Arabidopsis thaliana: one gene and its partners. The protein of the gene in region 2 purifies or fractionates together with the protein of the main gene of each other region. This does not show direct contact. Each region holds a gene or a part of one and is shown on either strand. Other genes may lie near its edges. The genes, in order: VTC4, AT1G26160 and AT3G02860.

Region 1 (10,513 bases), on a different chromosome or scaffold from region 2:
GTTTTTTCTTTCTCCTGTGAAGTAGGGTTATTAGTTAGTGGTTACCAACTTCACATTATAAAACTTCATATCTAATCAAATCGTGAAGTATTTGTCAGTCAATCGTGAGACGATATTCATGACCACTTTTGTCGTTGACTTTGTTTTTGGCTCAAAATTTTGGACGGCGATAAAAAATAAAACTCGTTGACATTGTTTTTTGGCTGAATCGTTGACTAGGATTCTGGGATAAGATGTGTAAAGAAGAAAACAAAAACCAATTTATTCACACGCAATCAACTATATATTTATACAAAAATTAGCAAAAGCAATAGTTTTATAGACATTTTTAAAACTTTGGAAATAAAGAAAAGTAGAAAGAAAGAAAAAAAGAAACTGATAGGTCTCATCTCAATTTGAGGCTCAAGAATTAACGAACAAACTAGAACAAGAACAAAGAAGAAGAAGTAGAAAAAAGGCGGGAAGTGGGGTCGACACTATTCAAGAAATTGCAACTTGACCCCAAACAATATTCAAATCAATCAATTTAGACCCCCAAAAAATCAGTCGGATACAGGATTTGGGGAGCCAGATGAATGAGAAACCTCCTCAATGAGTCTGGTGACTTCAGCCATCGAAGGACGACTATCTGGGAACTGAGCCGTACAGCTCATACCGATCTTCAATAAACGAATGATGTTCTCATTGCCCTCAGGTTGGTACCTTGTGAGCTCGGGATCAAGCACATCGGACGGTGTTTGTTGCTCGGTAACAGATTGGACCCATCTCGGCAAATCTACGCCTTCTTCATTCAACTGCTGATGCGTTGGAGACTTACCTGCAATGTAATGTTCCATGTTAAAACCTAGAAACCACAGCAATTGCAAAAAAAGCAGTTAAAAAGATATATCTATCCTTGATTGTTTGTTACCTGTGAGTAATTCAAGGATTAGGACGCCAAAGCTATAGACATCAGCTTTTTGGGATATTTTGCGAGCATCAGTGATTTCAGGGGCACGGTAGCCATCAATACGGTTAGGTGCAGATGTAGAACTAATGATGGGAGCAAGACCGTAATCAGAGACCTTAGCTTCATAGGAGTCAGATAATAGTATGTTCGAGGACTTAATGTTTCCATGAGAAGTTGTCCCATCACGCGAATGTAGGTAGCTAATCGCTCTTGCAGCTCCTAAGGCTATACCGGCTCTGGTTTCCCAGTTCAACGGAGTTCTCCCGTTTCCTTTGTTCCCTACAAATCCATTAAAAGAGCTTCAAAACCGAGCTTGAAGACACATAAGATAAACTAACTATGAAACAATTCAGTAATCAGTGTCAATTTTAGCCAAACCAGGTCCATCAAGATCACAAACTAGCATCAGCTAAACTAAGAACCCTAAAAATAAACAAATGCACAAATGGAGATTACTATTCTATACCGTGCAATATCGCAGACAAGCTTCCTTTAGACATGTACTCAAAGACAAGAAGCTTCTCGTCACGGCTGAAATAGTAAGCGATCAGAGTCACGAGATTGGCATGACTCATTGATCCCAAAACATGCAATCTCTCTCTGAACTCTTTCTCAGGCACCACAACATCTCTTAACCGTTTCACAGCCACCACTAACCCATGCTCAAAGCTTGCCTTATACGACGACCCAACTGTTCCTTTCCCAAGAACCTCAGCTGAAGCCTTCAACAATCCATCCAAATCGAATTCCCCGAAAGATTTCACGAAAAAGGTCAAATCTTTATTCACCGCACCACTCTCCGACCCCGTAGCCTTAGCCGGCGGGACAACAACCACCGTTTCCTTTGGTATAGCAGCGGAGGAAGTCGCAGCAGCGACAGGAGCTTCAACATTCCTAGATGGAACGTTCTCTTCTTTCTTTCTCTTTCTACAGAGACAGAACAGAATCAAAAGAAGCAGTAACAGACCAACAACACATCCGATCACAATCCCGACAATAGCTCCGGCGGATAACTTGTCGCTATCTTTCTTCTCCGGCGGCGTATTGGGTCCTCCAGCGTCACCACCATTGGGGCTCTCTGCCTCACAAGTGTCTAAAGGCTTCCCACAGAGAGTGTTACCTTCAAAAGCAGTTCGAGGCCAAGACGACAACGAACTCGGAATAGACCCGTTTAACTGATTAGAAGAAACATTGAATTGCTGAAGAGGAAGCGTGATCTCAGGGATCGGACCAGAGAGTTGATTCCTCTCCAAATACAGAGTAACCAACCGGGTCGCAGAATTGACATTATCCGGGATCCGACCCGAGAATTTATTCTCCCCTAGATTGATTCTGATTATGCTCGGAAGCGTGAAGAGAAGCGACGGAATCTCACCGGAAAAGGCATTACCTTGAAGATACAAGTAACGGAGGAGAACAAGGTTGGAGAAATCCGAAGGGATAGGACCAGAGAGAGAATTGAACCGGAGAGAAAGAGTCTTAAGCTGGGTTAGATTACCAATACCACCGATTGGTAAAGAACCGAATAAACCAGATCCGGGTAATCGGAGAGCCGTGACCCGACCCGCATCGCAGTGGACTCCGTGCCAATTACAAGGAGAAGAAGCACTCATGTTCCATAGCAAAGGACGGCCACGGACACTGTTACGAACAGCGAGTAAAGCTCTCCGGTCAGACTCTAGATCTGAAGTCACCGCAGCGAGATAGAAGACAAAGAGGAAGACAACAGAGAGACTTAGCTTACGCTTATACTTCATCTTCTTCTTCTTCTTCAAAAACCGTGTAAATTCTTCGTCTCCTTGGTTCCAAAAATTCAATAAATATATCGACTTTTTCGGATATGGGTTTTTGGAAAATTTATTTCGGCTACGCGTAAACGAGTGTTTGAACAAAGAGACTTTTGTGTTTTTTGGTTTACAAGAGTTTCAGCTCTGTCTTTCTTCTCTCTCTAGAGCCGGCTAAGAGAGAGAAAATGGTCATAATTGCAGAGAAAAAGGAAAAAAAGAAAAGTTACTAATTGGAATATTTCCTTTTTGACAAAAAAGTTAAAAGAGAATCTTATGTATTTAATTTGACAGCTAATTTACAGAAAGATAATTAATTAATTATAAGGTTATGACTTATGAATACTAGTTGTAACAATTTTATCAGAGTCAACTATATTTGCGTTACATAAATGACAATAAATCACTGCAGTAATGTTTTTTGTAGACGTTTAAACGACCTCTGTTTTTCCTTTCTTTTGTATTAGATCAATAAATTAGGTCTAATTAAAAAATTAATGGTCGTTATCGTTTTGTTTCTTTTATGTTTTTTTTTTTTGCAGGTTGAGTGTGACCAAAGACATGCCAGGTCTGTCAAATGTGTCTGAGCTACCGTTGACAAACAAAGATTAGCCTCTCCGACACCGTTTTTATTTCTGATATAAGTTTGTACCATAGACATTTTTTTTTTTTTTTTATGTATTTGTTGTATCAATTTGAAAGGAAGGTAATAGAAATGGTCAACAGAGAACTTAAGAAGTGGTATTCATTTTGAAGATTTCAATTGTTCAATTTTTAAAACTCTTACATCAAATTTATTTTAATAGAAGTGGTTGGTTTCTCGTGACTATTAACAAACATTCTTCCCAACCCGAAACCTAACCTCACCTAACTTTCAAGTTCAAATACAAATAGATGATGACTAATATAAGCTGATTTTCTCCCAACACCTTCTATAATTCACTCTTAACCTCTTCTTCATGGCTATGACCATGTTCGTCCAAATAAGAAACGGCCATAGCTGCGTGAAGAGCAGCCCCAACAGGAAGAGCTTCTTCATCAACAAAGAAGTAAGGCGAGTGAAGCGGCTTACCAGCGCCTAGCGTCTCATTCTTTACCCCCAGCACGAAAATCGCAGCCTTAGTCTTTTGAGTGAAGAAGCTGAAATCCTCTCCTCCCATTGTCACCGGGAAATCATGGAAGTTATTCTTTCCAATCATCGCTTCCGCTACTTTTTTACCGTGCTCGTATAAGCCCTCGTCGTTATTCATTACCGGGTGAAGCGACGGCTTTTTCTCTTCGAAGTTTACTTCTGCTTTGCATCGGTATACCGATGCTTGTGCCTCTGAAATCTGCATCATCATCAAGAAACATTTAAACAGGGTTAGGGACCTACATTATTCGAATAGTAGAACAAGATTGTATAGAAAAATGGTGTAAAAAACAATCTCTTTACCTCTTTGATCCGTCTTTGGATAAATAGAAGCCCATCGTTGCTTAAGCTTCTGAAAGTACCTCCAAATTTCGCACTCTGCGGTATTACGTTTTGAGCATGACCTCCTTCAATATATCCAACTGTAACCACCTGAGAAACATAAAAAAACCAATCTCCGCTGATTTCAGCCAAGATTCTGATTCATCAAACACCAATGCTTTGAAAGTGGAAAGCAAACTTACACCAGCTTCGAGTGGATCCAGTTCCCGCGAAACAATCTGTTGCAAGGCAACAACAGCGGAAGAAGCTGCAAGAACCGGGTCTTTAGAGAAGTGCGGTGTAGCTGCGTGGCTACCTTGACCGTGAACCGTGACTGTAAACAATCCTGCACCTGCAAGAACGGTCCCAGGCCTAGAACCAATACCACCTGATGGGATCGATGGAAAGACATGAACACTGAGTATCCCATCTAAGTCGTCTAGAATCTCGTCTTTTAGCATTTCATAAGCACCTGCATAACCTTCCTCGCCTGGTTGAAACACAAGTTTTACTGTCCCCTGTTGCAAAAAAATTGTGTTTTCGTTCAAAACCCTCATAAGATTCACCAAACTCTCATAAGACACACACACTAACAACTCTAGAAAACACACACACATAACAATTAGCAATCAAAGACATACACACACATATATCTAAGAATCTTAGAAAACACTAACCCACATCGAAATGAGTTTTAATTGCAGGGCACAGACAGAATCATTCAAAATTATACATATAAATTGAGTGAAAGAGAAAAAAGAGAGACCTTGATGAGGTGTTTTGTGGTTTGAAGAAGCTTAGCAGCACCAAGAAGCATAGCAACATGAGTATCATGACCACAAGCATGCATCTTTCCATCTACTTTACTTTTCGATTCCCATTCCACTAATTCCTTTTTTTGTCCCCATTTTTTCAAATTCATTAGTCAAACAAAGCAATCTAAAAATCAGAGTAAAAATCGGAACTTTGATTATTAGATTTCAAACCTGTAACGGAAGTGCGTCCATGTCGGCTCTAAGTCCGAAAACAGGTTTCGAACAGGATCCGATCCAAGCGACGACGCCAGTCTTCGCCACAGGATACTTATACTTCACTCCAAGCGAGTCAAGCTCGTCTCGAACGAGTTGACTCGTTTTGAACTCCTGAAACCCTGTCTCTGGGTTCTCATGAATCTTTCTCCTAATTCCTCTCATCCACTCGAAGAACTCAGGATCCTTGGCTGAATGAAGCATCCCGCGAGCGAGTGACTCGAGACCCGAACCAGAATCGTAGCTCCCAGCTGAAGACAGAGGAGGGAGAAAGAAGAAGGTAACGAAGATGACAAAGAAGCTCCCTGAGAAATCCATTCTGATTTCTTTTGTTTGTCGATGTAAACTGGCAAGTGTCAATGAAAGAAAGGACAACGGTGAATACGATGATGATGAAGGAGAAGGAGTTGGATCACCGATCCATTTTTAATATTTATATAGTACGTAATTTACACACGTTTTTGGAAACTCTTTTAATCGTTTTTAAATACGTATACGCCTCTAATGTGAAATTCATAATTTATGGTTGTAATGTGAAGAAAATAATGAAATACCAAAGATAAAATATGAAAATGATACAATGTAGTATATTTACGGTATAAAAGGAATATTTACTTGAAATGAATTAGTACGTTTAATACACGATTTTACCATTTATGTTAATGAAAATTAACACTTTTAAAATAAAACATGGCATGAATTAGAGTTGTGAGAATCACATGTAGGCCTTTAAGGTTCTTAAATTTTTAATTCCTTATAACATAGGCCCATGTATTTGATTGACATATAGGCCATTGGGTTCTTCGACTTTTAAATTACTTATAACAAAGGCCCACCTATTTGAAGCGCATTGTTAAACATTTTGTTTATATTTTGATTATGATCGAAAATTCTCTAGAACAATTCGTACAAAAGAAGCTGTTTACGAAAGTAGCTGTACATGCGAACATAATCAATAAAAATGTAAATGACTAATGAAACATCAGAATATCCGTACAAAATTGTGACTTTATATTATTTAGTTATAGGTACAAAGTTGTGGAGAGTAAAAAAATAAAAAAGGTAAAAAGTTGTGGAATAGACCTATGAAACAATCACAAACATACAACCAAAATGCAAATTGTAATTACGCAACAGAGGCTTTCTTTTCAAGGAAGTCAAGTGTAAGATTTGCAAATGCCCCAATTATTATTTGAGAGAAAAAGGGATATTGCTAATCACAATTAACGGTCACATTACAATTCCCTTTTTTCTCTGTTATTTCCTCTTCTTTCACAATTAAGTTCTTAACGGTCACATAAATATTTTGTTTTTTATATAATGAGTTTAATTAAGTTGAAGAATCAACTGATAAGGTTGATGATCCGATCCTCAAAAGTATACTAACCACAACACTGTCTACGTTCATGTTAGTACCTACTTCAAAGTCCATGTACGTTGGGACTGGCTGTATCTTCCGCCGAGAGCAGCAGAGAGCGTCATCGCTGTCTTGGAACGAGAGAAAGGTCGAGACTATCTCTAAGGCAACCAAAAGCTTAGCTATGATGAAGACATCTTTCTCTCTCTCTTTGCCTATGAATGGAGAATACAACAAATAATATAAAGTGATGGACATTTCTATGCTTTGCTTCTCTTCTCCAAAGAGAAATAGATGAAAAAGATTGTTGATTTTCGTTTCTCTCGAAGAAGAAGAAAGAAGAAGAAGGTGAATAGAGACTTTTGATTTCTCAAGAATGAACAAGTAGATTGTAGAGTGTTAGTGTTTAGTTCTGTTCTTAGGTTGCAGAGATTGTGTATGTGTGGCGTTTGATGTCTCGTGTTGGAGAGGTGGTCTCGTTTAGAGTGTTAGTGTTTAGTTCTGTTCTTCTGTTGATCTGTGTTTTTTTTAAATGTAAATTACACAAGTATGCAAAACAAATCTCTTCTCAGAAAGGGGCTACTGTTATATCATGAGATTTATAAGACAAAATGTAAAATATCGGAAAAATAAAACAACATAATTTTGGTGTTGAATGAGTTTTTCTTGTCCACACAACGGCAGAAGCAGTAGACGATTGTTCCTTTGTCTCTTGATCACAAACCGATTTCAAAGTGTTCTTCGCATTTTTCTCATCAATGTAAGTGAACCAGCCAGAGAAAGACAAGTATGCACCAATATCATTCCGGCCCCATATTCAGAATAAATTAGAACATCTTTTTCCTTCCGTGTTATGCACTTGTTCTAAAAAAAAAGAATTCCGGCCCATATTCAGAATAAGGAGTCCAGTCCAATAGTCTCAAGTCCAAACCCGACTCGGGTCTGTCCGACCCGGAAAAGAGAACTGATTACAGAATGCGGGTTTTGTCAAGAGAAAGTTGGATGATAAAATTGAGGTGAAATCTAATCTTCAAATGATCATTGGTTAGCTTTTTGTATAACGGATTTTCTGAAATCCTCTTATTTCCCATATCGGACCGTGATTATTGGGTGATTTCGGATGCCTAATTGGGTAATTAATATAATACAGTATAAGATTAGATGCCTCGAATATTCGCTCTGTGCCTAACCACAAAAACCGTAACTTTTGGTTTTCTCTGAAACACATCCCAAAGTAAAGAAAGCATCACTCTTTTCGTCTTCTCTCGAAAATGGCGGACAATGGTAAAGTCACGATCAATCTCTGCAAACCTTATTTGATTTCCCTGTTTCCTCATTTTCTTTCGGGCGACATTGATTTGACGCAGATTCTCTAGATCAGTTTTTGGCTGCCGCCATTGATGCCGCTAAAAAAGCTGGACAGGTCTATCTTTCGATCTCCTTGAGTTTTGATCGATATTTTGGCTAATCGTTATTTAATCTGGCTCCTTTTGGTTTGCGTTCTGCAGATCATTCGTAAAGGGTTTTACGAGACTAAACATGTTGAACACAAAGGCCAGGTTTTTGTTTCTTTCCTCCGCTCAGATAATGTTTCAATCACTCAATAAGTGGGAATGGCTACTTAAGAGTGTCAATTTTTTTTTTGAAATTATCTTCTATGGCTCCTTAAATTGTTGCTTTTAGGTGGATTTGGTGACAGAGACTGATAAAGGATGTGAAGAACTTGTGTTTAATCATCTCAAGCAGCTCTTTCCCAATCACAAGGTGGTGATTATTTCTTCTTTTGAATTCCCATTTTGTTGGCTTCTTCCTCGCGTTGATCATTAGAGTTTTGCTATAATTTATTAGTTCATAGGAGAAGAAACTACAGCTGCATTTGGTGTGACAGAACTAACTGACGAACCAACTTGGATTGTTGATCCTCTTGATGGAACAACCAATTTCGTTCACGGGTATTATCATTATTGATCAATTCCCATTTGAATGACCTGTGTGTTTCATTTGCCCATTTCATCAAAAACAAAAACAAATGCTGTTTTTTTTTTGTAGGTTCCCTTTCGTGTGTGTTTCCATTGGACTTACGATTGGAAAAGTCCCTGTTGTTGGAGTTGTTTATAATCCTATTATGGAAGAGGTAAAAGATTGTGTATTCCATTGTTTCAAGTTTCTTCGATCGTTACAACTTACCATTATACATAGTTTCCTTGATGGTGCTCTGTACATGCATGTTTCAAGATTTTTCTCAATTCTTACATAATATCTAATGATCAAACAGCTATTCACCGGTGTCCAAGGGAAAGGAGCATTCTTGAATGGAAAGCGAATCAAAGGTTAGCACTTGTTCTAGAGACCTAATAAAAAATTTCTTGATCTCTTTTTATGGCATCCGGAGTATAGCTATCACTTGTTCAGAGACTTGAGTTCTCTTCCTTCTTTTCAACTCAAACAATGTTCTTTTTGCAGTGTCAGCTCAAAGCGAACTTTTAACCGCTTTGCTCGTGACAGAGGTAAAAATCTGGCTCCTTTGTGTTAGACTACTAAAACTAGATTGCTATGAAGCCTCCTCTCATCGCTAATGTGACCAATTGAATATAGGCGGGTACTAAACGAGATAAAGCTACATTAGACGATACAACCAACAGAATCAACAGTTTGCTAACCAAGGTAAAAGTTTATCGATAGATATTTGGAACTCCACCAATTTGGTTCTAGTCTCTGCCAAAACTCATGATTGTTGTGTCCTTCATTCATCAGGTCAGGTCCCTTAGGATGAGTGGTTCGTGTGCACTGGACCTCTGTGGCGTTGCGTGTGGAAGGGTTGATATCTTCTACGAGCTCGGTTTCGGTGGTCCATGGTAAATTGTCTTCTTTTTTTTTTCCTTGCTTGGATTAAAAAAGGGGATTTCTTTCTTGTACAAACAAAATTAGATCCTGATGATGGCATAATAATATCAAATCTTTCACAGGGACATTGCAGCAGGAATTGTTATCGTGAAAGAAGCTGGTGGACTCATCTTTGATCCGTAAGAGTTTGAGATTAAACCAAACACACTCACTCTCAAACCGTCCAACTGATTATAACTAACTGTTTTATGTCGTCTTTGTTCATCAGATCCGGTAAAGATTTGGACATAACATCGCAGAGGATCGCGGCTTCAAACGCTTCTCTCAAGGAGTTATTCGCTGAGGCGTTGCGGCTTACAGGGGCATGAAGTCATCTGTTATTATTTTACAATATGGTCTCAACCTTATATGATCAAACTCAATTCAAAAACTTAACATTATTGAATATTTCTTTTCGGTAGAAAGAAAACAAACTCAATTGTTGAGAAAAAAAAAAAACTATTTTCTTTCTGCTACCCTTTGTGAATTCAATTAAAAAAAAATCATATGTTTGGTATTGAATGATATAATTCTGTTCTTCCATGTAGTTGATCTTTGTAATCGAGTTTGCATTTTTTTTTTTTTTATAAAAGGTGGAGTTTAAGGTATTTTGTGATCCATACTAAATTAACAACAGAGGAAAATGGGGATAATGAGTCCGGCCCAGTTACGACTAACGACCCAGAAGCATCCCGAAAGTCTCAAGTCTAATCCCGAGTTGGATCGACCCGACCCGTAAAAGAGAAGAGATTGCGGAGAAGAACGGAGGGAGGAATTTTGATTCTCACGGTGACTGTTGTCCTCCTCTAAGGACTTAGGGTTTGATTTGAATAGAACAAATTTCTCAGATCTTCGTATTCCTTGCGAGGTTGTGATAATTTGGGAGTTGCGTGGGTTGCTACGAAGGAGAGTGATGGATGCTCAAGCGAAGAAGAAGGCCATGTTCCGGTCTAAACTCAACGCCAAGAAGAAAGACACCCGCATAGATTCTCCTCTCGTTAGGTAAACCGTTGTTAGCTTCTTCTTCTCTTCGTTTCGATGTCACTTCTGGGTTTCTAC
Region 2 (10,996 bases):
TCTGTCAACTATCGTTAGCAGTAGAAGACTGTCAAAGGTTTGGCTAAAATCGCTTCAGTTTTTTTCCCCTTCATTTTGGTCGTATGTTACTTTGGAATTGGTTTCTTACGGAAATACTTTTATATCAGACCATTGCCGGTAATGTCAGAGAGTTGGTATATCAAACCGTCGCTTTCCTGCAGATTACAGAACAACAGGTAAAGATGAATCATGCATCTTCTGCTACTCAGACATGATAGTATATATTGGTCATATTTGTTCTTTTAAATCTCGGATGATAACATGAATCTATCAAGGGAAGTCTTACGAAGCTAGACAGCCTATTTATATATATGACGAAGTAATTTGTTTGTTGTGCAATAGAACTTATCTCTTGCTATCTTAACGAATAAAAGATGACCAGAAGGCTTATCCACTTTATCTGGTTTAATTATTATATGGTTTATATGTCTAACATTGGAGACAAGACATCCCTTTATTCTTTATCTCATATGTAGTTTCTCTTCAGGTTCATACTTGGTCCATGGATGTAAATCAGTTTGTAGCCGATGAAGATGAAGGTAGCTACAGTTGTCGTATATCAGGTAAGCGGTCTCTCACTCTTCTTAAGTCAAATTCATATGCATAACTGAGACAAGATTTGGAGGTCGTATGCATATATCAATATCCAAAATTTATGACCGTGTAACTATAAAACTACCTGCTTCACCACAGGAATACTTTTGTTGGAGGAAGTTATCAATACTTTTGGTAGTGAAGGGATCAATGCTGTTGTAGATGCTGCCGGAAAACGATTCCAAGAGTCTCAACGTGAAAATTCAGCTAGTTCTCTGTCCTGGTGGAGAGTAAGTGCACCTAATTCTCTTTGTTATTGTATTTCTTGAAAGGTTTGACTAGCCATTTTTTCTCTGATATTTTAACATTGTCCCCAATTCCGTGAAATTCAACCTTTTTTTTCTCCCATGTTCAGTTTTTATTTTCTTAACTTTACAACTTACTTTCATATTTTTCCATTTGTTAGTTAAGAGAAGCTGTGCTCTTTACTTTGGCTTCTCTTTCTGATCAACTTGTTGAAGCTGAGGTTTGTGTTTCCCATGACAATTTTAAAAACGAAAAAATTACTTAAGGTGGGAAACATGTTATATTATATTATAATCTTTTCAGGACTTGAGAATCGACCCTGCCAATTTAGCTAAATTTATTGAGCAATTGATAATGGAAGATACTGGAATTGGTAGGTATTGTAAGATTTACTGCTCCAACATTACTTCTCATTTGGTATTCAAACTGTTGTACATAACTGGAGCCTTTATTTAACAGGGTATCATGAATGTCCTTTCCTTTATGCCCGCATATTTACAGCCGTTGCTAAGTTCTCTTCTGTGGTAATATTTTTATTTTGTTTTCTCCCTAAATAACTCTAATCAGGAAGACATGAATTGAATCTTTTTCACTTTAATCAGATCAACGCGGGAATCCTTGAGCACTTCCTCAATGCTGCAGTTAGAGCTATAACCATGGACGTGTATGTTTTCTACCCTTCTGCAATTCTGCTGTTTAGTATCTTTCAGAGATTAAAGTTAGATACTATTATAAAACAGGCCACCACCTGTAAAAGTAGGCGCATGTCGGGCACTTTTGCAGCTCCTACCCGATATGAACAGTTCGGTTATTCTGCCTCAGATCATGAATTTATTCTCATCTCTCACTGATCTTCTCCGTCAGGTAATTTTTCTACTGAGTGCCTTTTAGCATACAACATGCGTCTATTTTACTTTTGTGTCACTCGAGATTTATATTCTTTTATTCAGGCTACAGATGAAACTTTGGTTTTGGTACTTGAAACTCTTCAACAAGCAATTAAAGCTGGTAAGTATACATATTTTTACTCTTTGCAAAAAACTTTCAGAATCTAGTTATGCAGTAGTTCCCACCTATATCTTATTTTCTTTATCATCTGCTAGGCCATGAAGCATCAGCTTCAATAGAGTCGATTATCTCTCCAGTGATTCTTAATGTGTGGGTGGCACATATTTCAGATCCCTTTATGAGTATCGATGTAATTGACGTCCTGGAGGTAATTAAAGTGAATGTGGTTATCATTCATTTTGTTGTTAGAAATGCAATTTGCCTAGTTTGTTTATGCTAACACTTAGCACTGCTTATATCATTCTTAACTGAACAATAAAAAATACTTTGTTTGCGGCTAATTTCTTTCCTATGGCTGTCACACAGGCAATAAAGAATTCGCCTGGCTGCCTTCATCCATTGACATCAAGGATTTTACCATTCATTGGACCAATTTTAAATAAGGTGCTGTGCGGAATCATTATTTCAAGCTTGTGTTTCCTCTAGTTTTACTATCTTTCTTCCCTGGTTTCCTTTTAATGACATCTCGGTGGTGAATGGTGAGAATCAGCCACATCAGCAGCCTGAAGGACTAGCGAGTGGATCCTTGGATCTTTTAACTATGCTTCTTAAGGCAAGTTATACTAGCTAGATTTTCGTAGTACGCAATTATTTTTTATGCTAAATGGACAGTATTTGTGTTTTGCTGACTATTTTTCTAGTCATATATAGGGTGCCCCAAGTGATATAGTGAAAACTGCATATGACTTTTGCTTTGCTGCTGTCATTCGTATCGTACTCCACAGTGAGGATCATGGTGAACTACAGGTGATAAAATATTCCATTTCTAGTTTGCTTCACCTTTATATCGACGAAGGTCACTTATCACTAGCCTTTTAATTGGTCAGAATGCTACAGAATGCCTGGCAGCTTTTATATCTAGTGGTAGACAAGAGTTGCTCACATGGAGTGGTGATCCCGGTTTTACTATGAGAAGTTTGCTTGATGCGACTTCTAGGTATAGTTCTTCACTTACTTTTTCGATTAGTTTATTTCACGTCCACCAAAAGCTGAGGCCTACTGTTTTTTGTTTTCTTTTTGCATTTATTAATATGTTGCCAACACTTGCGCATGCAAATTCAGTTGATTTTTGCGTATACGTGAGTAAATCTATGCACCATAAAAAATAGTCTGAATCACCTGCAATTGTTCTGCTTTTTAGAGCCTTCTGTGACATATCTACATTTCTTGGAATCATTTGGTTTGTTTGTTCCTCAATGTTTTCCAATTGGTATCTTTTGAAGGGTACATCTTGTCTTTCTTTACAAAGTCGATTTCTCAATGTTCGTGCAGGCTTCTCAACCCTGATCTGGAAGGTTCAGGATCTCTCTTTGCTGGGAAGTACATTCTGCAGCTTATCTTGCATCTTCCGTCAGAGATGGCACCCCATGTCCAGGATCTGGTTGCTGCTCTTGTAAGACGGTTGCAGTCTGCTGAAATTTTGGCTTTAAAAGGCTCATTGCTACTGATTTTTGCCAGATTGGTAATCTTCACCTTTCAGTTGGATAGTTTTAGTATATTAATGGTTCCTATCTTCTTTGTAAGGTGCTGTCAAGGCTCCAAAAGTTCACAAAAATTTTTTATCAGTCCTGCGCTGTAACCATTGATTTTTGCAGGTTCATATGAGTTATCCGAATGTCGATCAGTTTATCAATCTGCTTGTTAGCATACCCGCTGATGGCCATGAAAATTCCTTTACATATGTTATGACAGAATGGACTAAACAACAAGGCAAGCATCTATATCCGTGTTGTCTAGTTGTATAACTCTATTTGTATAACGTATGCGGTAAGGGTTTTTCTGGCTATTTCAACTTATTGTTGGTTAAGCATCTATTTTCAGGGGAGATACAATCCGCATATCAAATCAAAGTCACAACTTCAGCTCTGGCCTTGCTACTGTCCACTAGACATTCTGAATTTGCGAAGGTCAATGTCCCAGGCAGTCCAATTCAGGTCTTATGCTGTACCCATCTTTTTTTGTTTTTTCTTAAAACGCAGTTTATTCTCAGCCTTACAGAAACTTGAGTTAATTTCTGGTATAGTCCAATGGTGGCATAACTACTCGCTCAAAAGCTAGATCTGCTCCTGAACAATGGACCATTATCCCTCTACCCATGAAGGTATGTTATTGGTTGATTCCTTGATTCCTTGATCTAAATGTTCTCAATGTACAAGATGCAAGTCGGAATATGTATTCGTTGGGGATATATACAGTTCTATCCTGTATCTAAATGTTCTTAATCAGTCATATCCTCCTTTCTTTTCATCATTCTGGTGTATGCTTTCAGAAACTTTACATTCTTTGGCTCTGCAGATACTGGCTTTACTAGCTGATACATTGATTGAAATTCAAGAGCAAGTTTTGAGTAATGAAGACGAGGTGATTATAGTTCCTTGAGCTTCTTTATTTCCTTTCCCATCGTTGAATTGAGTGGAACTTGAGATGGCTAATTCTGTTCTCCGGAGTAGCAGGATAGCGAATGGGAAGAAGTGCATGAAGGAGACGCTAAAGCTGAGAAAGACTTGCTACGTTCAGCTGGTACCTCCCAATTCAGCAAACCCACATATGACCAACTTGAAGCAATGGCTCGTTTTGAGGTCCTTTTTTCTCTTTTACCTACATGGCTACTATACCATTGAACCTTATCTTATCAGAGTTACCGATTGATTTGACAGAACCAAGACGATGAGGTTGATGACCACCTACTTGGTACCGACCCCCTTAATGAGGTGAACTCTTGTGTTCTACATAAGTGTTGTATCTGCTCCTAATTCTCCAACTCGTGATCTGTTTCACCAACTCTCTTTATCTCTGAAACAAACAGATTAATCTGGCAAGTTATGTGGCTGATTTTTTGTTGAAGTTTTCGAGTGAAGATCGGCCTCTTTTTGATAATCTTTGCCAGGTTTGGTTTCTATTCTCTTATAACCTATCAACATCATGAAACTTAATATGAACCACTCGGCTTGTTTTCAAATATCTGTAGGGCTTAACAAATGCGCAAAGAAACGTGATCCATATGGCACTGAACCGCTAGGCTTGGCCCGTTATAATCCACAACTCTTGGCTTGAGTGTTGTTTTTTGTCAGTTGATTGATTTTTGGGGAGTAAAGAAATGGTAGCATCCCTTTTGTAAAAGTGTAGTTTTACACAAGGTACTCTATTAAAATATATCTTTGCAACTTTAAAGACTGAAGAAAATCCCTCTAGTCTCATGTTAAACTTTACAGTAAACATCGTAGAATTACTAAACATCTAGTAATGAAACAAATACTAAAGGCCGACGGATTAATAATATCCATCTTAGCCAAACAAATATAATTTATGAACTTCATATTTTTCGTACGTTACGGTGAACGAGATTCGTGTAGTCGTTAGTACATTGAAGAAAAGCTAGTAGCCTATAATATTGGTCGCAAAGATTGATGTGGGGGAATTAAATCCTTCTAATTGTCCATATATTTATAGCCCGTGGGAGTAATTGGGCTGGGCTCTTAGTTGCTGATGTAAACGGGTAAGAAAAACCCGACCCGACACCGAGCAACCAGCTCCTCAAAGGAAAAGCAAAAACACTGAAACAAACAAAATCAAGTTCTACTTTTTTTTGTTTGCATAGAATCGAGATCATCTATGGCGGTGATTAGTCCAGCTACACGTTTCGCACCGCCGCTGAACCGGCCTTTTCACCGCCGATCAATACTTGCCTCGTTTCATTCTTCCTCTAGGAACTTCCTCTTCCTCGGAAAACCCACTCCGAGCTCGACGATCGTTTCCGTCCGGTGCCAGAAACCTGTTTCCGACGGGGTTAGCTCTATGGAATCCATGAATCACGTTGCATCTTCAGTTTCGTCTTCGATCGATTTCCTAACGTTGTGTCATCGTCTCAAGGTATGTGTTGAACCATATAGACTACTACCGATTCCGAAATCAAAACAATGGATTGAGTTAACAACACTTGAGAGTGGCTCTCAATTTTTGAATTGGAGATCTGCATAGTTATATTCATTGGTCAACATTGTCAAGTAGTGAACTTTTCCTTCTTGTGTAGACAACAAAGAGAAAAGGGTGGATTAATCAGGGGATAAATGGACCTGAATCAATTGCTGATCATATGTACCGTATGGCTCTAATGGCACTTATAGCTGGTGATCTTACTGGAGTTGACAGAGAAAGGTTCGGTTTTGCCTCAAAATGTTTTTCCTTTATTTAGATGATAGAGAAAGGCTACTGTATATTGATTGTACAATGCATTTTGGAAGGCCTGGTGTATACATATGATTTGTTTAGGTTTTTGATAAACGAGCTTGTAGAGCTCCGTGAGGGCTGATGTATGTACGTTTCTCTTCCTAAAGTGATTGGTTCTATCAGAATGCGGGTATCTAAGGAGAAACCGATAGATCGTTGATGGGCTAGTTAGTTATTGTGCACTTTATCTTCTAGAGAAGTGGCATATTCTGGAACTCAGGATGTAGTGAAAATGTTCCTGGAGTTGAATGAAATATATGAGCAGCTAGTCAGAATTACAAAACATGTGCTCTTAAAGATTTAGGTATGATTTGAATCAGACACGTTCAGAAAGTTGAATGAAGGATAAGATAGGGAGACCATCCGTGAACAATTGATTTTTAAGTGTGAATTCCTTGTTTTCTGGCTATTGCTTACTGGATTTTTCTGTCTTCCTTTTTTCTTGGCATCTTAAACAGGTGTATAAAAATGGCAATTGTGCATGATATCGCTGAAGGTAAATAAACATTTGATCCTACTTTTCAATTGTGAGGTTCACTATATTTCCTATATTCACTAGTTAGTTAAGTTTCATTCAAAAAATACTGGGTGGTTTGGAGGATACAAACTTGTATAGATTTATACCCTGAGTAGGGTAGTATATGTAATAGATACACTTGGATTCGTATATGAAAATTTAATTTGCTGTGGAGATGGAACTAAACATGTGTTGAGAGCTGATTACTTTGGTTTCTTTCTCTCAATTCATATATACTCTTCTTCTGCAACTTAACGCGTAGAAATTTTCAAAGCCTCACCACTTTACTGGCTTCCGAATAGCTATTGTTGGAGATATTACCCCATCTGATGGTGTGCCTAAGGAAGAAAAGAGTAGGAGGGAGACAGCAGCTTTAAAAGAAATGTGTGAGGTTCTTGGTGGAGGCCTCAGAGGTATATACGCCTTTGCCACTGTCATCTTCTATTGTTTTGGTTTCCAAAACACTTATTTATAAGCCTAATGTCAACGTGCAGCGGAGGAGATCACAGAACTTTGGCTGGAGTATGAGAACAATGCTTCTTTAGAAGCAAATATTGTAAAAGACTTTGATAAGGTGGTTAATGGGTTTCGAGTTTGCAACAATCGATGGCGTTAATTCCTGTTTCCTGTTAAGAGTCAAAACTTACTCAACACAAGGGTTACACTGACTCTCGTCTCTATTACTGTTTTAGGTTGAGATGATTCTCCAGGCGCTAGAATATGAAGCTGGTAAGTCTCAATCTTAAACTTTGTAATCGCATGTGCTTGTTGTTCCTCTCCCATCACAAGAAATCTCACTTGACGTTTGAACATCATTGCAGAACACGGGAAAGTGCTCGACGAGTTTTTCATATCAACAGCAGGTAGAGAACCCATCTCATACACTCTCTTTGCTTTACAGTTTTAAACGTGAAATCATTTGGTTTCATCAATTTCAAATGCAGGCAAGTTTCAAACAGAAATTGGAAAAAGCTGGGCTGCTGAGATCAACGCTAGGAGAAAAAGCCAATTGACAAACAGGCAGAGATAGTAAAATCCAGTTGCATCATACCTTCAATCTTCCTCAACTATCAACAGTAGAATCTCGGAAACTAAGCAGACTCCTCATGAACCAAAAGGTACAAGCTTCTAGTGAAATTTTCAGTTTTGTAGTTCAACGAACACAAAGTCCTTGTTTTTTTAACTTCCCCTTTTGGTTACTAGTTGAAGTAGAAAATGCTTTTTTTTTTGAGAAAAGTGATCAAAGTTTCTTATGAAAATCTGAAGTTCGAGGTTCCTAATATGATTATGTTGTAGTCACAACCCAATTGAAACATATCACACACTCTTGTAGTTGTTAATGTTTATCATAAATGATATATATGCATTTCTCTGACCCCACTTTAACGCGTGTGCATTGTCATTGTCACTGTTAATATTGAAATCAATGTTAGAACTTAGAAGAGAGAGTCAACAGCTACAGAATCTTGATACCAAATGTTGTCACGTGTATTATTACTTACATTCCTTCCTCTTCTTCGGCAATGATTATGCGTGCAATTTCCTTTTCACACAGACTGGTTTTGTTAACAAAGATAATGAAGAGCATATAAGATATGTATTTTAATCAACCGACACAAGTTTTTGCATAGCAAGATCCTCTCCACTAGCCCCAACTTTGTGAAGATAGAGAGTGACAAATTAAAATTACAAGAAAAAAGGTGGTGGTAATTGAAAATGAAAAACAAAGAACATAAAAAGTCAAGACTGAATAATTAAAAATGGGTTCCACAGTGCCACTGCCTATTTGTTTGTTGCTCTTTTTCTTGTTTTATCGGCATGTAAGTGATGGTCCCAAAGTTGTCAATATATCCCTTTCACAGAATTTAATATCCACCAACGAGTGAACTATTATTTTTCTATTATACATAACATTTTTTCTGGACCAAACGTACCATATGTTATGCACACTAGATATTCCAATTGTTAACTATTTACCCCATACCACAAATGATACTTTTTTCACTTGCATTATCTTTTGTTTTCTTTCGTTGTTTATGTCAATGTATTACGTAGCAAGCTTAGTCGAAATATCACACGTTATTGGTTGAAAGTTATGTGATTTTTACGATTGCCATAGTATTTGAGATTTGGTAAAGAAGCTGTATAATCACTATACTACTAAACAAAACAAAAAAAACTAGATTTGCATATCGAAATCGCCAGTTACCATTTTCACCAATGATATCGTAAGGTGTTCGTGTTTTTTTAATTGGCAAAATAAGAAAAAACTAGTATTAATTTTGACCATTGATTTTGACTTTGAAGGAAAGCATTCTTTTTCCTTTTATGATGCATAAATTTGTCTTGAGTACTTCCCTTGTAGATTTTTCTTATTTGCCTAGCGCTTGTTTGTTTGATGATGCGCACAATATCTTTTTTCCAAATTTTTGGTTTTTTCTTTAACAGCTTTACACAAGTTTGAACCTTCAGAAACCATTTTTGCTCAATCTCATAGACAGAGAGAGACAATTTACTTAGCTAGGTTCTAATAGCTCACTGTAGAGTTGGGTTTTGACTAGCAGAGGAAATTTTTGGTGAAGTGTGTGGTCTCGAAGGAAAAGCTCTTTATACAGATCCGAACAAGTTTGCATTTTTGTCATCTAATCAGATAATCTCGCTTATCTGGAATTTGCATTATTGGTGATCTGGGTTTTATCTGTTTAGTGTTGAAGCCTGTTGTCCGAGTATTTAGGGTTCAAATTATAGTACAGTGTTGAGTGATGTGTGGTTTTTAGTTGGTGCTTGGAGGTTACTGTCATACTCAAGTCTGGGAATTTTTGTTTCTTTTTTGTTTAATAATTTCTCTTAGTAAAGTAAGTGACGGTGTTTGTTCAATTTCAGTTTTTGATCAGAAGAGTGTTGGTGAAGAAGATGTTAGAATCTGGTCTTGGGATTTAGATGACTACACCTGCACAGGCTCCTAGGGAGGAGGTGTCACTGTCTCCATCATTGGCGTCCCCTCCACTAATGGCGTTGCCTCCACCGCAGCCTTCGTTTCCCGGTGATAATGCCACTTCCCCAACTAGAGAGCCCACTAATGGCAATCCACCAGAGACCACAAACACCCCAGCTCAGTCTTCTCCTCCTCCTGAGACTCCACTATCATCACCACCACCAGAACCTTCTCCCCCATCACCTTCACTAACTGGACCTCCTCCGACGACGATTCCAGTATCTCCTCCACCAGAACCTTCTCCCCCACCACCTTTACCAACTGAAGCTCCTCCTCCAGCGAATCCAGTATCATCACCTCCACCAGAATCTTCTCCCCCGCCACCTCCACCAACTGAAGCTCCTCCTACTACTCCTATTACATCACCCAGCCCGCCAACAAATCCACCACCACCACCGGAAAGCCCTCCTTCACTACCTGCACCAGACCCTCCAAGCAATCCACTTCCACCACCTAAGTTAGTCCCACCATCACATTCACCTCCACGTCATTTACCTTCCCCGCCAGCCTCAGAAATTCCTCCTCCTCCACGTCATTTACCTTCCCCACCAGCCTCAGAACGTCCTTCAACTCCTCCATCAGATTCAGAACATCCTTCTCCTCCTCCTCCAGGGCATCCAAAACGTCGTGAGCAACCTCCTCCACCGGGTTCTAAACGTCCTACTCCATCACCTCCTTCTCCAAGTGACTCAAAACGTCCTGTGCATCCTTCACCTCCTTCTCCACCAGAGGAAACTCTCCCACCTCCCAAGCCAAGTCCAGATCCCTTACCTTCTAATTCGTCTTCACCACCAACATTGCTTCCACCATCGTCAGTTGTATCCCCGCCTTCGCCTCCTCGAAAATCTGTGTCAGGTCCTGATAATCCATCTCCAAACAACCCCACTCCTGTGACAGATAATTCCAGCAGTTCTGGTATTAGTATAGCGGCTGTTGTGGGTGTAAGTATTGGAGTGGCCCTTGTGCTGCTTACTCTCATTGGAGTTGTTGTCTGTTGCTTAAAGAAACGGAAAAAGAGGCTCTCAACCATTGGTGGTGGCTATGTTATGCCAACACCTATGGAATCCTCCTCCCCAAGATCAGGTAATCTTAATCTCGTCTACTTTTATAAGGCAGTTAGTCTTTGCCATCCTTAAATGTCTTGGCAAGCATGGCAGAAAGAAGTCTCCTTGTATAATTGATTGTTTGAATCTTATTAAGACATGTTACTTTAAACTGAAGAGTTCATAGTTATTCAGAGATTAAGATAGTTTGTGTCAAGAGTTCATAAGTATGGATATTGCTATGTATATTTTGATTATCATCAGTATTTCTGGATTTTCATCTCC
Region 3 (10,174 bases), on a different chromosome or scaffold from region 2:
GGGACACGAACAAGAAGTGTTTGGTCCAAAACGGAAGCGTTTTGGCTTTGTCTTCTTGTTTTGAAAGATTCGCGGCGGCGCGTGATGGACACATGCGTTTATTGGAGGAAATCTTGTTTGTTCTATCATCTTGGTTGCCTCTGAATCGATCAGAAGGTTTCAACAAGATGGGATCAACGGCTTCTCTTAACTGTCTCGTACGGTTCTTGAACGGTAAGGACGCTAAAACGAGACAAAACGCTGCGTTTTGCATCAGAGAGGTTATTGCAGTAGACAAGAGGTATGTGTACGCGTTAACAGATGTGGAAGGAGCTTGTGAAGGATTAGTTAAGATCATCAGAGACTCTGTTTCGACTAGCTCCACGAAAGCATCTTTAATGGTGATTTATAGAGCGATTTCTTCTAACGACAAGATCACTGAAAAATTTGTGAAACTGGGTTTGGTTGAGTTGATCACAGAGATGATGGTGAACAATGCCGAAAAGAGCGTTTGCGAGAGATCTCTAGTTGTTTTAAACGCTACATGCGATAACGAGCAAGGCAAAGAAGATGTTCTTAGAAACGCTTTGATCGTTCCTCTTCTGGTGAAGAAGATTCTTAGAGTTTCGGATCTCGCGACACAATGTTCGGTTTCGATACTTTGGAAGCTATGGAAGAATAAGAAAGACGGAGAATGTGATGATCGTTTGTTAGTTGAAGCTCTTCAAGTTGGTGCCTTTGAGAAACTCTTAGTGCTCTTACAAGTCGGGTGCGAGGATAAGACGAAGGAGAAAGCGAGCGAGCTCTTGCGGAATTTAAACCGTTGTAGAAACGAGATCGAGAAGACAAATTGTGTCGATTCTTCAATGCATTTGAAGAATGTGAAGAAATCATTTTAGTCAAACAAACAAAACACACTATTATTCTTTGTAATTACTCTGTTTCTAAATAAACTGATTTTTTGAAATTTGCTCGAATCATTATGTTTCAACAGCCAAATACAGTTTTTGTCCATCACTTATCAAATCTACATCAATAATTTTGGCTTCATCTTCAGATAATACACAAGAAGCCTCCGGAACATTCAGCTGCTCCTTTGCTGTTCTTATAAGCTCCTCGATGCTTCGAGGTACCCACAGTACAATCCCGCGCCTTCTTTTCTCTTTCGAATCACCAGGATGTGAAAAATACACTGTACATTTCTTCTTATAGACTTTATCTGCAGATTATTCGAATAAACAAACCGCTTGTTAAAGTTTCTATCTAAAAAAACATCGGTACTTTGACTTATATGCCGATAAAACTACCTTTAGGCTCTTTGGAGCCACTCGGAAACGAAGAGATTTGAGAATTCTTAGCGTCTTCGAGTAACTTTATCAACATCTTGTTCCCACAACCCAAAGCTTCATCAAGAGGTGTGTTTCCCCATCTAATTACAAAAAAAACTGTTAGCAACCGCGAAAACAAACCGCTCTTTATTTGGTTAAAAAAGAAGTTACCTGTCTTTTGCAAGAACATTAGCACTTGCTTCTACCAATTGGATCGCCAAGACATAAAATCCTTCAGAGGCAGCTACATGAAGAGGTGTTCTGTGATCATAATCTTTGGAATTAGGATCAATTCCGTTACTAAGAAGCCGTTTCAAGAAATCGCTGTCTCCTTTCGCAACCACGGTGCAAAGGAAAGTCCCTGCGTTCTCTATGTTCAACGTAGCTCCTTCTTTAACAAGCAACGCCGCAACACGATCATTCCCATTCTTGATTGCTTCTAGTAAAGGTGTGCTCCCCAATTTATCTTTGATATTTACATCAACTGATTCTTGTATAAGATATAATGTAATATCTTCATATCCTCTAGAGGCTGCAAGATGCTGTTAACAACAAAAATATGTTAATAGATATCTTCCAATGTTGGATTTAAGAAACCGAGAAGCTGTAGAAGCATACCAAAGGCGATCTTCCGTCATAATCTGTCTTATTCGGGTCACCTCCAGCTCGAATCAAACTCTTAAGCTGATAAAGATCACCGTAGAAAGCCGCACTATTCAACTTCAGAGCTAGCTCTGCCTCTTGTTTACTGATATGAAAGGTTATATCGGATTCTAGTTGCTTAATCCGGACATTAGATTCTTTCCCTTCAAGCAGATTGTTGAGAATCCTCCGTCCATCATGGAAAAATATCTCGAGTATGTTCATGAAAGATTGCTTGTCAAGCCTTAGAATCCGACATAGCTCTGCAACTCTAACCGTGTAAGGCTGAGGAATATTGCAGAGGATTGAAATCTCTCCAAAAGAATGATCTGGTTGTAGAACTGCCACTATTTCTTCAGATCCATCCTTTGTTATACCTATCTCCTCCTGATTGAAATCACAAGAAGTTTGGTTTAGTAACTGAGATTTTTTAGTCATTCCTAACATTTATTGACGAAAACACAGATATTTTGTTTACCAATACACCGTGACAAACAAAGTAGAGCTGATCAACGACGCTTCCTTGCTCCATTATAACTTCTCCAGGAAGAAAGAACTCTTCATGAAGTCTTATAACCTGTAATAAAAGCAAAAGTGTGCTCTTTAGTTACCTGAAGAAAGAAAGTAATTTTCAAAAAAATCAAAAGGCTTACAATCTGGTTAATGAATTCAGATGAGCATCCGCGAAAGAGAGGAACTTTCTCAATATACGGCAAGTATAAAGTTTGCGCAATCTGCAGTAACAACATAAGTTTACATTTGTTCATCATCTGAATCTGAACAAGCATCTCTGAAGCACTCATCATACCTTAGCACGGATAGAGACAGGAATGTCTTGAAGAACAGCTGCTTCAGTGTAGCTGCTTTCGTACTGCAACCGCAAATGTCCGGTAATCTGACCACGGATGTTCCTACCGAGTTTGTTTCGGTTCATATACCGCATGATATCAGCCATCTTATCCCGGAATCTCTCTGTTTTCGAACCTTTTACAATCAAAGCTGTCATGTTACCAATCAAGTAAGCTCCTAGAATCATATCGAATGAAATGTAGACCATCGCGAATATCATTTCCCGCATATTAACCGCGTGTATATCTCCATAACCTGCATTATAAGAAACATACCAAGTTAAGGAATGAAAGCAAACGATATATTCACCAAGTTTTCAGTTATCAGAACTTACCAACAGTTGCCATAGTAACAACTGCAAAGTACATAGAAGTAGTGTATCGAGTCCAGAGATCGATCTCTCTAAACTTCGAGTAACTGTAATCTCCTAACTTCAAGCTTCCAATCCAAGTGTACCCTTCTTGAGAAGCAGGAAGCGTCGTGGCCAAGTAATAGAAGATACAAGCTGCGGTGTGAGTGCAATAAAGCTCGACGAATATAAGCTTGACGATTCTTGTAAAAAGGTAATTGATTCTTATATCTTTCTCCATTTTGTGGAAAAACAGGATTACTCTATGAACTCGATATAGCCTTATCAACAATAGGTATCTCACTTCTTCTTTTTCGCCTGCAGCCTGTTTTCAAATTCACAGTTTCAAATTCTCCGTTTCCCGCAAAATCAAAAGAGTAAAAAGTGTATACCTTGTAGATGATATCCCATGGCATGCAAGCAAGTAAGTCAATTATAAAAGTTGATTTTAAGTACCTACAAAATTGACAAACACCATGAAGAGGTTAATCTCATTGAGTAGATAGCAAGAAAACAGAAACAGAGTAGAGTTTGAATACCGTAAAGCAATTGAGCTGCGTTTATAGATCATTCTATAAGTTCGGCTATCACGATAAGCAACGAAGAATGTCAAGACAATATCTACTAAGAAAGCGATTTGGCCAGCGATATCGAGGATGAACAGATTCTCTGGTAATCCCCTGAAGAATCCGAATTCCAATGGAGTGAAGAAGGAAGAATAAAGTGCCCATATCAATATAAACATCGTCCACGCCTTGTACCACCTGCAAATTCAAGAATCTTTAGATCCGGACAGAGTATTTAGTAGCTAAACTAAACTCACTACTTAGTCTACTTCTATTATTGCTCCAAACTTCAGCGAAACAGAGTTTTCTTCTTTAATCTGGTCTGACGTGTACAGACTCATGGTTGTTACATTTTTAACCAACGATCATTTGTAACCATTGAGAAACTGATACGTGTCATAAAGTGGCGGGAAATGAATGAATAACCGAAGAAAATGTTATTACACTAAAAAGGAAGGTTAAATCCACAATCAAGCCCCTAATGTTTTTGTTTGCACTACAATTGACCCCGAAAGTTGTTAAGCTAACAAATTTCCTTCAAAATTTCTCTAATAAAAGTAGTACGTAGCTTCAAAATATATAGGAAGATTGATTTCTATAAGATTTAGTCTCAGTATAAAGAAAAAAAGAAATTAATCAATACCTACCCTAAAATCCATATAACAAAGTAAGTGGACTAGAATAATACAAAATAAAACATAAGGCCTACTTATGAAACTATTAAAAGTTAAAGGACTCAGAAAACAAAATTCAAAAGCGTGACGAGAATTTATGGTGTACCGGTTATCGGGATGAACAATGGAGCCTCTGGAGATATCTCTGATTCCATTAATGACGGTGAACTTTCCACCGCTACCGCCGGCGAAGTCTAACCCTAAGAAATTGGTGAGAGGATTGAATCTGTTTCCTCGCGATTCTACAATCCCATCTCTGAAATCATCAACCTCGTAATCCTCTAATTCCACGTCTGATTCGCCGCCGCTACGATAAGAAACTCCGCCGCCGCTACTACCTCCCATTACACCTCCGAATCACGATACCAGATAATCGGATATTTGACGAAGAAGACAACCTCTCTGTTTTTCTCTCTCTTTCTCTTTCTCTCTCTTTCTCTCTTATTTCCTTTTTGTGATTTTCAGTTATATGCCTAAAATTGGCGCCTGTGTTTTCAAATTTCGAAACTTATCAGATAGAGAAAAAAATAGCAACTCAAGTTAATTCGATGAACAACACCATGGAATCGGCGAAATTTATACACAAATTTTCGGTTTTTTTTTGTTAGTGCTGTTGTTTATTTTTTACATTAAAAGTTCAAATTGTGATTCAAAAAGCCCATGCTATATTAATATTTTTATGGTCATAATAAAAGATAACGTAGTGTAAAAGAATAATAATATGTTTTAAAAAATAAGGTGAACCAGTGAGATATGGGTTTATTTTTAGAATGACCTATGAAGAGCACCATATAAATGATAAGAGAGTCTTTTATAACCACAAGATAAACAATAAGTCATTACGTGTTACGTACATGTGATAAGGTATCGTGATGTGATAAAGTTCGAGGAAGTCACTTTTTCGATCATTTTATTCGTAAATGTTTCTTTCTTTCTAATGCTAAACGATTTCTCCTTTATCACGTTTAAACATGCATAAGAGATTAGAGATCATAAGATTAAACACTTGTGATTGTGTGTGGTATTTTACAAGATATCGTTTGGTTATGTAGGTCGAAGCCGATGTGTGTGTGCGTGTGTGTGTTTTGTCACTCTTTTTTTCCTAAAATTCACATGAAGACGATGAATTCGAAAAATGGTATTTTATCTAAAACAAATTTGGAAAAACCAAGTTGGGATACAAGTGTTATGATGGATAGACTCTAAACTGAAATGTCCCTAAACTTTGATTCCCGTTGTGAAACACTTTACCATTAGAAAATTCACGTGACAATTTATATGATTAGTCAAGCTAGATAATGTTAAGGTATTATAGGAGATTGAGTGCATTCAGTTAGGTCAGAAGTAATTAGTTAACTAATTTTATGTTCTAATGGGATATTTGTTATATCATCGATTGTGCATTAACCGACCTTTGCTTTGGCTGTTCTCTCTCTCTTTGTTTTGTGGACTCCTTTTCAAGTTATAAACAAGATAACATAACCCTTTTTTTTTTGGTTATGCATATATCTTGATTTAAATATTTCAAATGTCAATGGTTTATAGTGGAAAGCCTAATGCATTTTTTTTATAAGTTATATAAGCATATGGTTGGTAATCACAAATAGTCCAAAAATTCACAAAAAAATATGAATATGTTTAGTTAGTGGTCTTCTTCCTTCTTCAATACTTGACCCCTAATTAGTTTCTCGACATATTTGACCCCTAATTGGTTTCTGGAATTGTCTCAATTATTTATTATTCCACATGTATTTGTTTAACAATAATAAGAGTTTTAACTTTAAAGATGATTGTTAAATTTACCACTTTCGTCATTATGTTTTGTGCCACCAAATGATCAATATCTGAAACATTCTCACTCAAAACTAGAATGATACGACCACCAGTCATAATCACTTTTTTTTTTTTAGTTTATCACCTGAAACTGGTCGGAACTGCCACAGTTTCAGGTTTCATCCCCAGATATTTCGGCCTTTTTGGCAACTCTGGTTATGAAAATTACGTTCTTGAATTATACCCATTAACCGATAACTATACCTCAAATACCAATTGATCCTCTGAAACTGATAATTGTATATATATGAGATTGATTAGTTTTCACTGTATATTCTCATAGAACATTGTATGTTTTACCAGGGTACAGATTTTTAAACAGTCTTTTCTAGTTTATTCAAAGATGTTGAGCTCTCCAATCAACAGCAGAATCCTCGTCATCCTCCTCATCGCTGGGCGATTCTTCTTCTGTCTTCTTCGGCTTTTTAACAGACCCCTCAGAGGTTTTACTGCGCTTCGCTAATCTTGCCGCTTTAAGTTCCATTTTCTTCCTCTTCAGAATCTCTACTTTCTCTTTGTATGATCTGCAGAATAAGATTAAAAGGAGAAGCCAAGTGTTTACTTAATCTTAAACAAGTCTCAACATTTCCATCTTCTTGCTATAACAAAGTAATGAATCAAATTACCTTTGCTCTCGTTGTTCCTCCTCTTCTATAGTTTCCGCAGCATCAACCTGACAATTAGAGTGCGAGAAAAGCGATTTTAAGTTTAAGAAAGAGCTTATGATACTGTCAGCAATTTATCATAGTGACAGAAAGTTATCTGACCTCTTCTTCTTCCATGCGGCTATCCACTACCTGCAAATCATCTTGTATCAACTTCTCAAATTCTTTATATTCATCCCTGTAAGAAGATCCATGTTTATATAAGTTCACGAAGAGAATTCTTAGGTACAAACCCATAAGATCATATGAACCATTCAAATTGAGAATGTAGGAAAGTAACTGGATCACAAGGTCCACAACAATGAGGTTTCACTTTGATTTTCTGCATCTGGAAAAGTAAAAGCAACAAAAAAAAAAAGAGAAGAAACTCACTTGATATCTGGTTTGACGAGCTTGATTCCATGGGCAAGCAGGTCAGCTTCTTTATTATCAAAAAAACCGGTTGGAAGGTTTCCATTCACCATTGGTTTTGTTTCTGGACCAGTGGTCTGTGTCTGACTCTGTTTAGGTTCACTGGTGGTTTTGGTATTTGAAGAATCAGTTTTCTGATTATCAAAGAATCCGGCTGGAAGAGGTCCCTTTGACTTATTTGTTTCAGATCCTATAGTGTGCTTTGATTGCTCTAAATTCTTGGATTTTGCTGGTTCTACTTCTGCTGCACATATATTTGATCAATAAGTTTTTTTTTTCGATTGACGAATGAAACTATCATCAATCTTTCAAAAAACCTAAGACTAGAGCCTTTAAGCATGGCATCCACATAACTAGCACCTAAACCAAAAGCCTTCTACTAAGAAAATTATTCGAAAAAGATAAGAACAAGAAGAGGAAAGTGCATTAGTCATTACCTCTAGCAGGCTCACGATTTTCGAAGAAATTTGGCGGAAGACCAGATGATGTCTGAGAATTGGATGATTTAGCCAAAGCTTCAATTTTCGTTGGCCGAGTTTCAGCAGGTTTGCTACCCCGTTGGACTCCCGCTGCACTAGCCTTGAGACTATCAATGGCCTGTCCAAACGTTACATTACGAAAGCTAAGTTAATAAGATTAAAGAACATAAAACAGAGAATCTAACGCATAAAATCATATAAGAGCATGAAATCTACCTATCTTCAATGTATGTAATTTATCAAATATCCCATTGTTGTTACTCAGGTTATAAGAGATTGTGAAGTAAAGCTTATGGAGCAGAAGACACTAAGTTTACCTCGTGGTGCTTACGAGAAGCTTGATGTACATCCCAGAGTGATTCAGATTTCAAGACGACATTGCAAACTCGACACACAGGCTGGTCTGATTCGTTGTACCTACAAATCCAAAGAACAAACTCTTCATCCCAACTACAGCTCAAGCCCAATCCCCAGAACCCACAAATATTTGGAATTGTAGAAACCCAGAAGTGACATCGAAACGAAGAGAAGAAGAAGCTAACAACGGTTTACCTAACGAGAGGAGAATCTATGCGGGTGTCTTTCTTCTTGGCGTTGAGTTTAGACCGGAACATGGCCTTCTTCTTCGCTTGAGCATCCATCACTCTCCTTCGTAGCAACCCACGCAACTCCCAAATTATCACAACCTCGCAAGGAATACGAAGATCTGAGAAATTTGTTCTATTCAAATCAAACCCTAAGTCCTTAGAGGAGGACAACAGTCACCGTGAGAATCAAAATTCCTCCCTCCGTTCTTCTCCGCAATCTCTTCTCTTTTACGGGTCGGGTCGATCCAACTCGGGATTAGACTTGAGACTTTCGGGATGCTTCTGGGTCGTTAGTCGTAACTGGGCCGGACTCATTATCCCCATTTTCCTCTGTTGTTAATTTAGTATGGATCACAAAATACCTTAAACTCCACCTTTTATAAAAAAAAAAAAAATGCAAACTCGATTACAAAGATCAACTACATGGAAGAACAGAATTATATCATTCAATACCAAACATATGATTTTTTTTTAATTGAATTCACAAAGGGTAGCAGAAAGAAAATAGTTTTTTTTTTTTCTCAACAATTGAGTTTGTTTTCTTTCTACCGAAAAGAAATATTCAATAATGTTAAGTTTTTGAATTGAGTTTGATCATATAAGGTTGAGACCATATTGTAAAATAATAACAGATGACTTCATGCCCCTGTAAGCCGCAACGCCTCAGCGAATAACTCCTTGAGAGAAGCGTTTGAAGCCGCGATCCTCTGCGATGTTATGTCCAAATCTTTACCGGATCTGATGAACAAAGACGACATAAAACAGTTAGTTATAATCAGTTGGACGGTTTGAGAGTGAGTGTGTTTGGTTTAATCTCAAACTCTTACGGATCAAAGATGAGTCCACCAGCTTCTTTCACGATAACAATTCCTGCTGCAATGTCCCTGTGAAAGATTTGATATTATTATGCCATCATCAGGATCTAATTTTGTTTGTACAAGAAAGAAATCCCCTTTTTTAATCCAAGCAAGGAAAAAAAAAAGAAGACAATTTACCATGGACCACCGAAACCGAGCTCGTAGAAGATATCAACCCTTCCACACGCAACGCCACAGAGGTCCAGTGCACACGAACCACTCATCCTAAGGGACCTGACCTGATGAATGAAGGACACAACAATCATGAGTTTTGGCAGAGACTAGAACCAAATTGGTGGAGTTCCAAATATCTATCGATAAACTTTTACCTTGGTTAGCAAACTGTTGATTCTGTTGGTTGTATCGTCTAATGTAGCTTTATCTCGTTTAGTACCCGCCTATATTCAATTGGTCACATTAGCGATGAGAGGAGGCTTCATAGCAATCTAGTTTTAGTAGTCTAACACAAAGGAGCCAGATTTTTACCTCTGTCACGAGCAAAGCGGTTAAAAGTTCGCTTTGAGCTGACACTGCAAAAAGAACATTGTTTGAGTTGAAAAGAAGGAAGAGAACTCAAGTCTCTGAACAAGTGATAGCTATACTCCGGATGCCATAAAAAGAGATCAAGAAATTTTTTATTAGGTCTCTAGAACAAGTGCTAACCTTTGATTCGCTTTCCATTCAAGAATGCTCCTTTCCCTTGGACACCGGTGAATAGCTGTTTGATCATTAGATATTATGTAAGAATTGAGAAAAATCTTGAAACATGCATGTACAGAGCACCATCAAGGAAACTATGTATAATGGTAAGTTGTAACGATCGAAGAAACTTGAAACAATGGAATACACAATCTTTTACCTCTTCCATAATAGGATTATAAACAACTCCAACAACAGGGACTTTTCCAATCGTAAGTCCAATGGAAACACACACGAAAGGGAACCTACAAAAAAA

Evidence for each region.
Region 1: the proteins of AT1G26160 (region 2) and VTC4 fractionate together in Arabidopsis thaliana (co-fractionation; one large-scale study listed by BioGRID). This does not show direct contact.
Region 3: the proteins of AT1G26160 (region 2) and AT3G02860 fractionate together in Arabidopsis thaliana (co-fractionation; one large-scale study listed by BioGRID). This does not show direct contact.

What each region holds. Positions count from the first base shown.
Region 1 is NC_003074.8:627,012-637,524, reverse strand, and holds VTC4 (Inositol monophosphatase family protein), read left to right. Parts: upstream 1-7,599; 5' UTR 7,600-7,842; coding exon 7,843-7,855; intron 7,856-7,938; coding exon 7,939-7,994; intron 7,995-8,079; coding exon 8,080-8,130; intron 8,131-8,254; coding exon 8,255-8,335; intron 8,336-8,419; coding exon 8,420-8,523; intron 8,524-8,620; coding exon 8,621-8,705; intron 8,706-8,846; coding exon 8,847-8,901; intron 8,902-9,034; coding exon 9,035-9,078; intron 9,079-9,166; coding exon 9,167-9,235; intron 9,236-9,325; coding exon 9,326-9,426; intron 9,427-9,537; coding exon 9,538-9,594; intron 9,595-9,683; coding exon 9,684-9,783; 3' UTR 9,784-10,013; downstream 10,014-10,513. Other genes in the region: AT3G02880 (Leucine-rich repeat protein kinase family protein), read right to left, coding at 543-817, 911-1,228, 1,416-2,706; ILR1 (Peptidase M20/M25/M40 family protein), read right to left, coding at 3,666-4,064, 4,169-4,297, 4,390-4,704, 4,953-5,078, 5,173-5,532; AT3G02860 (zinc ion binding protein), read left to right, coding at 10,368-10,456.
Region 2 is NC_003070.9:9,041,491-9,052,486, reverse strand, and holds AT1G26160 (Metal-dependent phosphohydrolase), read left to right. Parts: upstream 1-5,437; 5' UTR 5,438-5,541; coding exon 5,542-5,799; intron 5,800-5,959; coding exon 5,960-6,084; intron 6,085-6,614; coding exon 6,615-6,652; intron 6,653-6,975; coding exon 6,976-7,086; intron 7,087-7,167; coding exon 7,168-7,247; coding exon of another isoform or gene 7,248-7,289; exon of another isoform or gene 7,290-7,365; coding exon 7,366-7,402; intron 7,403-7,494; coding exon 7,495-7,536; intron 7,537-7,617; coding exon 7,618-7,703; 3' UTR 7,704-8,065; downstream 8,066-10,996. Other genes in the region: AT1G26170 (ARM repeat superfamily protein), read left to right, coding at 1-37, 129-197, 509-584, 715-845, 1,022-1,081, 1,165-1,234, 1,321-1,385, 1,464-1,525 and 16 more; PERK10 (proline-rich extensin-like receptor kinase 10), read left to right, coding at 9,614-10,751.
Region 3 is NC_003074.8:618,742-628,915, forward strand, and holds AT3G02860 (zinc ion binding protein), read right to left. Parts: upstream 8,627-10,174; 5' UTR 8,417-8,626; coding exon 8,328-8,416; intron 8,193-8,327; coding exon 8,093-8,192; intron 7,894-8,092; coding exon 7,734-7,893; intron 7,541-7,733; coding exon 7,258-7,540; intron 7,064-7,257; coding exon 6,988-7,063; intron 6,894-6,987; coding exon 6,847-6,893; intron 6,745-6,846; coding exon 6,558-6,744; 3' UTR 6,422-6,557; downstream 1-6,421. Other genes in the region: AT3G02840 (ARM repeat superfamily protein), read left to right, coding at 1-878; SKOR (STELAR K+ outward rectifier), read right to left, coding at 960-1,198, 1,287-1,408, 1,479-1,849, 1,926-2,336, 2,428-2,526, 2,603-2,683, 2,758-3,053, 3,133-3,472 and 3 more; VTC4 (Inositol monophosphatase family protein), read right to left, coding at 9,001-9,100, 9,190-9,246, 9,358-9,458, 9,549-9,617, 9,706-9,749, 9,883-9,937, 10,079-10,163. UniProt on the Arabidopsis thaliana protein: Essential for breaking seed dormancy before seed germination. Prevents reactive oxygen species (ROS) accumulation in response to abscisic acid (ABA) and oxidative stress, probably by repressing the accumulation of ABA-induced ROS-scavenging enzymes (e.g.